2 linked regions of the Nothobranchius furzeri genome follow. The protein of the gene in region 1 purifies or fractionates together with the protein of each later gene. This does not show direct contact. Links are inferred from orthologs where the notes say so. Each region holds a gene or a part of one and is shown on either strand. Other genes may lie near its edges. The genes, in order: pheta1 and ocrl.

Region 1 (4,583 bases):
GTAGAAAAATATCTACGTTTTGGCAGATCCCCGGCTACGTGTGGACAGGGCCGGAGTTTCCCTACAACACCAAACACCTTGAACCACCTGATTCCTGCAGATTTGCATTTCCTCTCCAGCAGTAAATATTAGGTTCTCTCAATTACAATCACTGAGCTGGGGTCATTTTTGTTATTTTAATTTTATTAGGAATTTCAATAAACTAAGTAGATCTGGTTGCATGTGCAACTTTTTAAAAAAATATATAAGAAAATTGCTTTTTTCCCCCCAAATGAAATATACTAAATGAAAAAAATTGAGATGTGCGATTCCTATAAGAACGACTGATTTGATTGTGTCTAAGTAGTGTTTTACACATTCTGTCCTGAAAAGTCTTGCAGCAAAACGGTGAAAGAGTAGCATTTGTTTTTAGATTGTAGACAGAATAGTGTTGATTTTTTTTTTTTATCTTCTGTGGAAAAAGAAAAACCTCAGAAATGTTTGTTTTAGTGATAACACTTAAGAGCTCCAAGTGCTTTCATCTTCCTGAAACTCAGAAAGCACTGGAGGATGACCGGAAAGGAAGGTCCGAACTAAGGAAAAACGGTCCTCGCCGGCCTACTGGCTCTGAAGCCACTGTGCTCGAAGTTCCTCGACCTCTTTGCCGTACCAGTCGTGAAGTTTGGAGAAGCAGCCAGTCCCAGGGGAAACCGGGCTCTCCAGCGACGCTCCGAACCTCCGCGGGGGCACTGGTGGAGCCCTTACTCCATCAGCTCCACAGCCAACAATATTTCCAGAGTCTCCACAGCCTTTCCAGGCCAGGCACGATGAAGCTCCTTCAACAAAACCATTAACCAAGGCAGCTGGCGGTTTATTCCATGCAACTCCGTTCTCCCTGGAAATTCCAGAGATGAGCTGTACCTCATCCTGAAGGTTCTTCTGGGCAGAGCAGAGAGCGGTCATGGAAGGGGCACTCGATGCTGATGAAAGGGAAGACGAAGACGACGACGACGAGGAGGATGCTCCAGATCTGATGCGTGCTGACTGTTTCCCCCTAGAAGACTTAGGCTTACCCTGCTGGGCTCCAATCCCAGAGGCCTCCTGGATCTCCTCCAGCTGCCTCTCCAGCTCCTTCACCACCAGCTTCATGTAGTCAAAGCTGGCCCTCGAGAGCGCCTTCACCCACGACTCCATGGCAGCCTGGTTCTCTGCTGCCATCTTGTACACCCGCGCCTTTGCACAGTCAAACTTGACAGCAAAGGCAAACTCCTCAGCCGACTCGCACAGCTCCACCGTGCATCCCTCAAGGACGATGACGCCGATGGGCTCCCGGCTGTCGCGCTCCTCAAAGTAGAACAGCATGTTGCCCTTCAGGATGAACCAGCGTCGATGATAGGCCGTGTTCCGCTCGCCCTTTTTGAAAAGGAAGCCAGTCTTGTCCGGCGGGGTGTCACAGGTGGCATAGTGAGCCACGCTTCGCTCATTCAGCTTCATCTTCCCCTGTTGCTAAGTCTTTATTTACCTGAAAACCAAAAAAAGATGATGTCACACCAAGGATTTAAGGATTCTCTCGTCCGTGCCATGTGAGTCTGCAGTGTTTTATTTAAGGACGTTTTTAAATAAAGGTTTGATGGTCAGATTACAACATCAGGTGTAGTATAATAACAGGTTTGGTGTTGTACTTCCTGGTAGGTACTTTTTACTATCTGACCATCTCATCCTAGCTGTGTTTATACTTCTGTTTTAACACAGAACTGTACACCATGGACGTAATTTTCACTTTAGAAGTTGGGGGAACACGCGGGGGGGGGGTATCTTTACAGTATGCTCTAATGGGAAACAGGCTTCAACACAAACGGTTGTTTTCTGCTTGGTCCTAGAGCTCAACCAGTGTCAATTTAATATAAAGTAATATTGTTTTTGGATGGTAAAAAGTGCAGGGGTCAAAACTTGACTTCGGAAAAAGTGGGGGGGACATGTCCCCCCCCGTCCCCCTCCAAAATTACGTCCATGCTGTACACAGAATACTCTAACCAAATCAAAGAGTGTTGTTTTTGTGTCCCACACTACAAATCACACGTTCAATAGAAGGAGACCTTCCTACTTGGTAAACAGCTACTAATCCAACTTATTATAGGCTAAAAATACTTTTAAACCCTGGTAGAATATTTTATATTATTTTCCTACATTTGCCGCTACAGTTAAAAACAGGATAGTTGGATTAAATGTCTACAGTGAACGTTAATATTTTAAAATGAAATAAGTTGGTTTTACTTACATGCTCATCTCATATCCTGGTGACATCCACCCCCAGTGCTCCCATCACATCTGGACCAATAAACTCACTAGTTCTTCATATTCTTCCATTCCTCGAGAAAAGATCGTTTTGACCGGGGTTAGACACAAATCCACTCATCGTCCCTCACCCACGAGTGGACCAACAAAGATAAAGAGAAAAGGTCTCCAGGTTCTGACGAAAACGCTAACATTTAGGGGATCTAGTTGTCCTTTTATGGCCACCTCGGCTTGCTAATGGTGTCTGGATGATTCAGCCCAGCGGTTTGCTAGTAGGTCACAAGCATTTTACGCATCAGCAGTTTCCTAGACCTCATCTCCGCCGACTAAACAGTTTCATTTCAAACAAAAAACACTCCGAAGGATCGGCTGCTTTCCGTAAAAACTCGTCTGCCTGCGTGGTTCCGACGAGCTGTTGTGGTTTCAGCCACCGTGCGGGCTCTAATGTACACCAGCTGTGAGTGAACCGGAACTGGACGCTCAACTCACAAGTTATAAAAGCAGAATTTGAACAAAATAAGTGTACCTGTGGATGAAACGACTCCCTTCTGACTCCTTCACAACCTCCAAGTTGATCTTAATCGAGTTCTTCATCTCCCCTTTTGTTTTTTTTTTCCTGTCACGTGACTAGGAGAAGCATGCACTCGTTGTGTTATCCAGCTAGCTTGAGTGGGCGGTGTCGCAAACCCCCTGACCTGAACTTCATCGCCGTCGTGGCATCGCACTTGTTATCGGGACAACTGGTGACTAAAAACACGCGCACCTTGTCTATGCTCTTGGTGATTTGGTTGAAGCTGCTGCTGCATTTACTCTAAATGTGTATACATATATATGTACACATTATATATATATATATATATATATATATATATATATATATATATATATATATATATAATATCTCCAAGCCTCATTTACCAAGCTTTATTTTAAATGTTATATAAAAGGTAAATACATGCAAACAGAGCCTGTCTGCAAAGGCTAGCCATAACATATTTCACAGTTCCATATATTCAGATATAAAATAGATAGTTCCATATAAAACAGATATATGTATATATATATATATATATATATATATATATATATATATATATATGTTTTCTTTGCATTTATTTTTTATTTAAACATTTAAAATAAAGTTTGGTAGATGAGGCTTGGAGATATTGTCTTTGAAAGTCAGTAACAACACTAAATAAAGACCCTGTTGGTGACATGAAATTGCCCCCCTAGGAAAGTACAATAAATAGTTTGGTCAATTGAAAGTATTTTTCATCACGTGAATATAAATCTACTGAAAATAATGTTTTTAGACATTGTACATGCTCTAAAAGTTTGCTCTAAAACAAGTTTGCAGTTCTGGATTTATTATTGACATGTTAACTGTAAGCAGTGTTAACATAACGCAACCACTGGAAGAAAAAAAATTCTGATTTGATTGCTTGCTATCAAGTCGTCTGAGCTCTAATATTTTTTAGAAGCTTATTTGTTTAGAACAGGCTGAAACTGTTTCTTTAAGCTGAAACTCACATATTTAGTAAAGTAAAATCTGTCTCAATCTGTTTGGTAAACATATAATTTTATTTCTCAAATATTAATGTTTATTAAATTCTTTCAAAGTCATCACTTTCTACTTCAGTCAAACTGCACATTTAAAATTACCATGAGTAGTGAGCTCATTCCATGTGACTACAAGCAGCTGCATTACACAGCTGCCCTCTTTAGTTATATAATTTGTTCAAGAGTAAAAAGTAAAATATGCATTTTTTTCTTTGCTAATTTCACATCACATTATTTCTGGATCCTGGGTTAGGAACTCTCCCAACTACGTCGTTGTCCTACCACGCTGCTCTGTAACCTTGCCCCTTATTTTAATGGCGCCGAGCTGTGAGCCTGCAATGAGAATATCGTGCAGACAGTTCATGACCTCTAGCGTCTGCCATCTTGCTATCTCACCACGCTAATCTTCAGCTAACAGATGTGGCCGCTGATGCCATTTACTGTAGCTTTTCTCTTTTAGGGAGAGTTGGCTCACACTGCAAGTACGCTTTGGAGTCGATATATTTTCCTCTATGTGGCACAGGGTTCGTGGTGCTGCGACACTGTAAGAGAATTGCGCGGTTTCTCAAACTGGCAAAATAAAGGAATCAACGTTGAAATGAGTGTTACAAGTAGACACGTATGCCAACACGGAGTGCAAAGTGTTTACTTCTCACAAATTAGTTTCAAAGAGTTCAGTAAACCACAAGAAAAAATTCACTGACAGCTTTCTAGTCGTCTTTAAAACTGGTGAGGATTGAGCCCCTGGT
Region 2 (4,399 bases), on another chromosome or scaffold:
TAACCAGTGCTGCTTGAAAGAGACAGAGCCCTGAGACTGCTCATTCTGGAAGGTACTGAAACTGGCAAGAACAAATTTGTTGAGATTGATTTATGGGATGGGGATTTAGAGCAAAGAACTTCATAAACACTTTGCGTAGACCATAGGACTATTATAACTTCAAAAACTGTCAAGACCCCTTTAAAGCATTTGCATATTGTACAGGATGAAGCAGTACAAATGTTGTTTGACCAATGATAACCACATTCGTCTCTCCTTCAGTTTTCCCGGAGCGAGTAGCTCTGTACTTCGTTTCTGGCATCTGTGCTGGACTGGTGTTCCTACTCTGCCTGTTTGGAATTCGCTCCACCATAGTGAGAGATGTTAAGGATCTGGTTTCTGACCTGAATGATCAGATAAAAGCATCACGCAGAAAGAGGAAGGAGCTCATAGACAACCTCTTCGATGAAGAAGTCTCAGACACCTCCTCCTTCTGTCGCCTCACACAGTCTTACCGTACAACAGATGTTCTCAGCCCGTCAGCTCTAACAATGGAGATGGTTGATGTGCAGCAGACGAGGGATTTGCCCATTGGAGACATCTGGCCACACCTGGACTCTAGTCCTTATGCAATTCACAAAATAAAAACCTATAACAGTTGTGTGAAGCCATATCCGGTGATTTAAAAGAGCAGAATACACACAGAGAGATATTTGATTGAATGTCACCTAACTTACACCTCTCTGAATTAACTATGTTCATAATGTAAAACACACAATAACAAGGAGTCATTGTGCTCTATTCAAACTACTATTTGTTCAGATTTGATTTGAACAAGTATGGTTTTATCCACAATGACATTTATCTTCTCTGATTTAGACTTTCTTTGTGTAAAGGAATGGACAAGGCTCAGATGAACTCTATCCATTTGATTGACTTTTCTTTAAAATATTCTGTTTCATAACTGTTCATTCTGGTGTTAGTCTCAAACAACTCCACAATAATAAAACGTTTCCAAGGAAACTGACTGAAAAGTTTTTTTAATACTCTCAACTGAATCTGTTTAATATGCAAGAAAAAAATCAAATATTGTTTTTTAAATATTTGTGTCTGTCTTGGACAACGTAATTTAGATTTTTAAGCAGAAAATATAAATAATTTGCTATTAGTTTGAAGCATTTGTTTTTGCGGCATGAAGTCGCCGGGTGTCTGTTCATCCTCCAGAACACTGGGGAGCGCTAAGTACCTTCATGCGAAGGAGTGCACTAAAATTGAAGTCTGATGAAGGCGAAGAACGACTAGTCTGGGTAGCTAGCTAGGGAGCAAACCCTGGGAGTCTTCGAAGTGTAGCATATCTGTGTGCTACAAACCACCCGATAACGTTATGTTGTCCGAGGGGTTTGTCTCTTGACACCGAGAGGGACACGAGAGAAACTGAACATTCTCATGTTTCTGACAGAATGATGGAAGTTATCAGGGGTTGTTTTAACTCCTAAATTCCATTAAACGTTTGTGAGACCTTCCAGCGGCAACAATAACAACAGCTGGCTAAAGGAGCGGTTAGCCAGCTTCCCGGAAGGAGGCCGCCACAGCGCCGGGTGGAGATTTAACTTTTTTTTTGCCTCAACATCTGCTCAACGTAAAGACCCTAAAAGTGATACGTATTTATTTATCTTGGTAAGAATGGAGTCCACGCTGGGGATTTGCAACGAAGAATGCTTGGCAATATCCTTAAAGTTGTGTTTGAATTGTATACGAGTTAGCGAATGAGTTATGAACAGCTAGCCATGTAAATACAGTTGATCAGAGGGCTAATTCACTAAACCGTTGTGAGATAGCTACTTAATGTTATTATTCGGGCTGATTTAAGAAAGAATTTTCTTTTCCACAAAAGCAGTGACACATCATTTATTGTGGCGACACATTTAGTTAATACTGGATAATTTCACCCAGTTTTATTTACCTTTCTTGTTATGTATTATGATTATGTAGCATCACATTCTATTTGCGATTATCCAGTGGTTGAAGTCACAGTAACAGCTAACACTAAGAACTGCTAAACACGGAGGATATGTGTAGCTTGTATTGCTAAAATTGCTTAGATACATATATTTTTGTTCTTTGCCGCTCCTCTACTGTACTGATGGGCTCGGTCAAACCCTGAATTCTTCCTTTCACGTCTGTGGATCTAGTGATCTAAGTCTCCGTTTTTTTGTGGATTGATCTGGCCCAGGTTTCTCCTTTTACCCTGGTTATGAAAAAGCCTCCAGGCTCAGGTTTCAAATGTTGTTTGTATAAAACAACCTGGTTTAATATTTGCCCCTGTTAGATTTTTGCTGCCACTGGCACTATTCTTTCTCTCTTATTTCACGTTGTTAATGCTTGTCATTAATTTCCTTCCTGATTTTCAGTTTGCATGGCTTCATTAACATCTTTCTTCAACTGAAGACAGACTTATTCATAATGATTTTCGAACACTGTTCCGGTAGTACTGGGTAACAGCTGTAGTTGTGATATCTCATCATCCATCTCAATGATTCCTTGATTGTGCTGCTCAAACTGTAAAAGCTCAGGAGCTGAGGTCTGGCCAGAAGGAGTCCAGGTTACTGTCACTAATTGAACACAATGGAGAGTTTAAGTAAGTATCAGAAATAACAATTACTGAAAGTATGTTGACATTGGGTTGTCCCAATGTCCCAAAGCTGTGTGTTTGTTGCTGAATCGCTTAATAACACAGTAAGGTGTTTTGTTTTATTATTGCTCCTGTTTAGTTTTGACTTCATTCAAATGAAACCCAAGTTGTTGAGAGCTGTCTTTGTCAGAGGAAGCTGCAGTTGACCTGAAGTGTGTGACCTGAGCAGAATTATATGGGTATACAGGAGCTGCTTCATCAGTTAACCTTTAACAAGTTACTTTCCTGTTCCATAATCAAAAATAGAGCTCTTAACATTCAATCGAGCTGTTATCTTGTGTTTTATGAAGTTCTTAAACACACTTTGCACTAGACTGCTGTCACACTGATGGAATCTTAAAATGTGCAAATGAAAATTCAAGTTATTTTGATGTTGACCGGGATAACCAACATCGGTCTGTGTTTTCTATCCTGAATGTCAGATTTATTTGTCTTTTTGAGTTATCTCAGGCTGGTGGCTATTTTAAATCCAGGATGTTTAACTGAATGAGCATGCCCCTTTACACACACACACACACACACACACATACACACACACACACACACACACACACACACACACACACACACCACTCTTGTCACTACACAGATTAGCTCTTAGGTGTAAAATAACTGGATGCCATGTGGGCAGAACGTGGTTTCTGTGAGCTGGACAGCTCCAGGGCTTATTTGGTGAAAGGAGACTTTGTGTGTAGACAGTAGGGAGATGTTTAATCATATGTGTAGCTTGGAGTTACTTTCACCAGCAGTAACCTCACTGCAGATTATCCAGAATTCCTTCACTTCATCTTTAGCTGTAATGAGACTCACATGGGCACGCAGGCTGCAGGCTGCAAGCCCACACAAGCCACCAAAGAGTAATGTCATGAAGAGGGAAAAAACCATTATGAATGTTTCAAAATAGACATGATTTATTTTAAATGATTGAAAGATTTTGCATGACATAAGGCATTACCTGAGGTTCATACCAGTGTTCTGTGCCTTCGGTGTGTTTTTCTGTGGTATTTGCTTTTATGCACTTCTGTACATTGGCTTGGGATACAATCAGTACCAGTTTGTGGTACACAAATTATGGGATTATTGACACAATAATCTGGATAAAACAGACAAAACTGGAGGGTTTGTCACGTCAGGCTCTAAAATGTACAAATGGAGAATAAAAAAAACCATTTTGTTTCCTGTTGAATATTCTGTTGCGTTTACATCGGAAGTTCTCATCCTGACAGATTCGGGAAACTGCTTCTGACACATTTTGCCCAGCAGTCCTGAATAATTGTCCTCTCCACTATAATCAGACCAAGTGAAGGGGAAGAGTGGGCAGTGAGTGCCCAGGAAGACTCTTTGTCCTCTGCTGTTAGTCAGATGTTAGTGAGCACAGGAATGTGACCCTGCCTACATAAACCTACATCATGCTTCTGAAGCCGTTTGTGTCAACAGTTTGATAATTTAACACTTTAATCTTCTTTATATGCTCAGTGGATTTGTATTGATTAACTGAATGATGCACAGTGCTTGCTAGTTATTGTTTTTGTTGTGTGCCACTAAAGAGAGGTTTTGCATGTGTGTTTTTTCAATTTCTATTGTTCATGATAATTAAAGCACATCTTGACTCCATCTTCTCTGTTCTAATGTTAAGCACCCTGCATGAACGTCAGTGCTAGCAGCAATGTTTTTTATATATGTGCTTTATGTTTAAGATGGAAAATCTTGATATTAAAATAAACAACA

The links.
Region 2: the proteins of pheta1 (region 1) and ocrl purify together in Homo sapiens (co-immunoprecipitation; 5 studies listed by BioGRID and IntAct, counting the BioPlex papers as one, with this or other methods). This does not show direct contact. The link is inferred for Nothobranchius furzeri from reciprocal best matches to the Homo sapiens genes PHETA1 and OCRL.

Annotation. Positions count from the first base shown.
Region 1 is NC_091757.1:53,618,359-53,622,941, forward strand, and holds pheta1 (sesquipedalian-1), read right to left. Parts: upstream 2,913-4,583; 5' UTR 2,801-2,912; intron 2,437-2,800; exon of another isoform or gene 2,349-2,436; 5' UTR 2,258-2,348; intron 1,502-2,257; 5' UTR 1,474-1,501; coding exon 598-1,473; 3' UTR 392-597; downstream 1-391. UniProt on the Homo sapiens protein: Plays a role in endocytic trafficking. Required for receptor recycling from endosomes, both to the trans-Golgi network and the plasma membrane.
Region 2 is NC_091741.1:85,247,982-85,252,380, forward strand, and holds the start of ocrl (inositol polyphosphate 5-phosphatase OCRL), read left to right. Parts: upstream 1-1,485; 5' UTR 1,486-1,662; coding exon 1,663-1,703; intron 1,704-2,536; coding exon 2,537-2,617; intron 2,618-4,399. Other genes in the region: si:ch73-335m24.2 (protein eva-1 homolog C), read left to right, coding at 262-665. UniProt on the Homo sapiens protein: Catalyzes the hydrolysis of the 5-position phosphate of phosphatidylinositol 4,5-bisphosphate (PtdIns(4,5)P2) and phosphatidylinositol-3,4,5-bisphosphate (PtdIns(3,4,5)P3), with the greatest catalytic activity towards PtdIns(4,5)P2.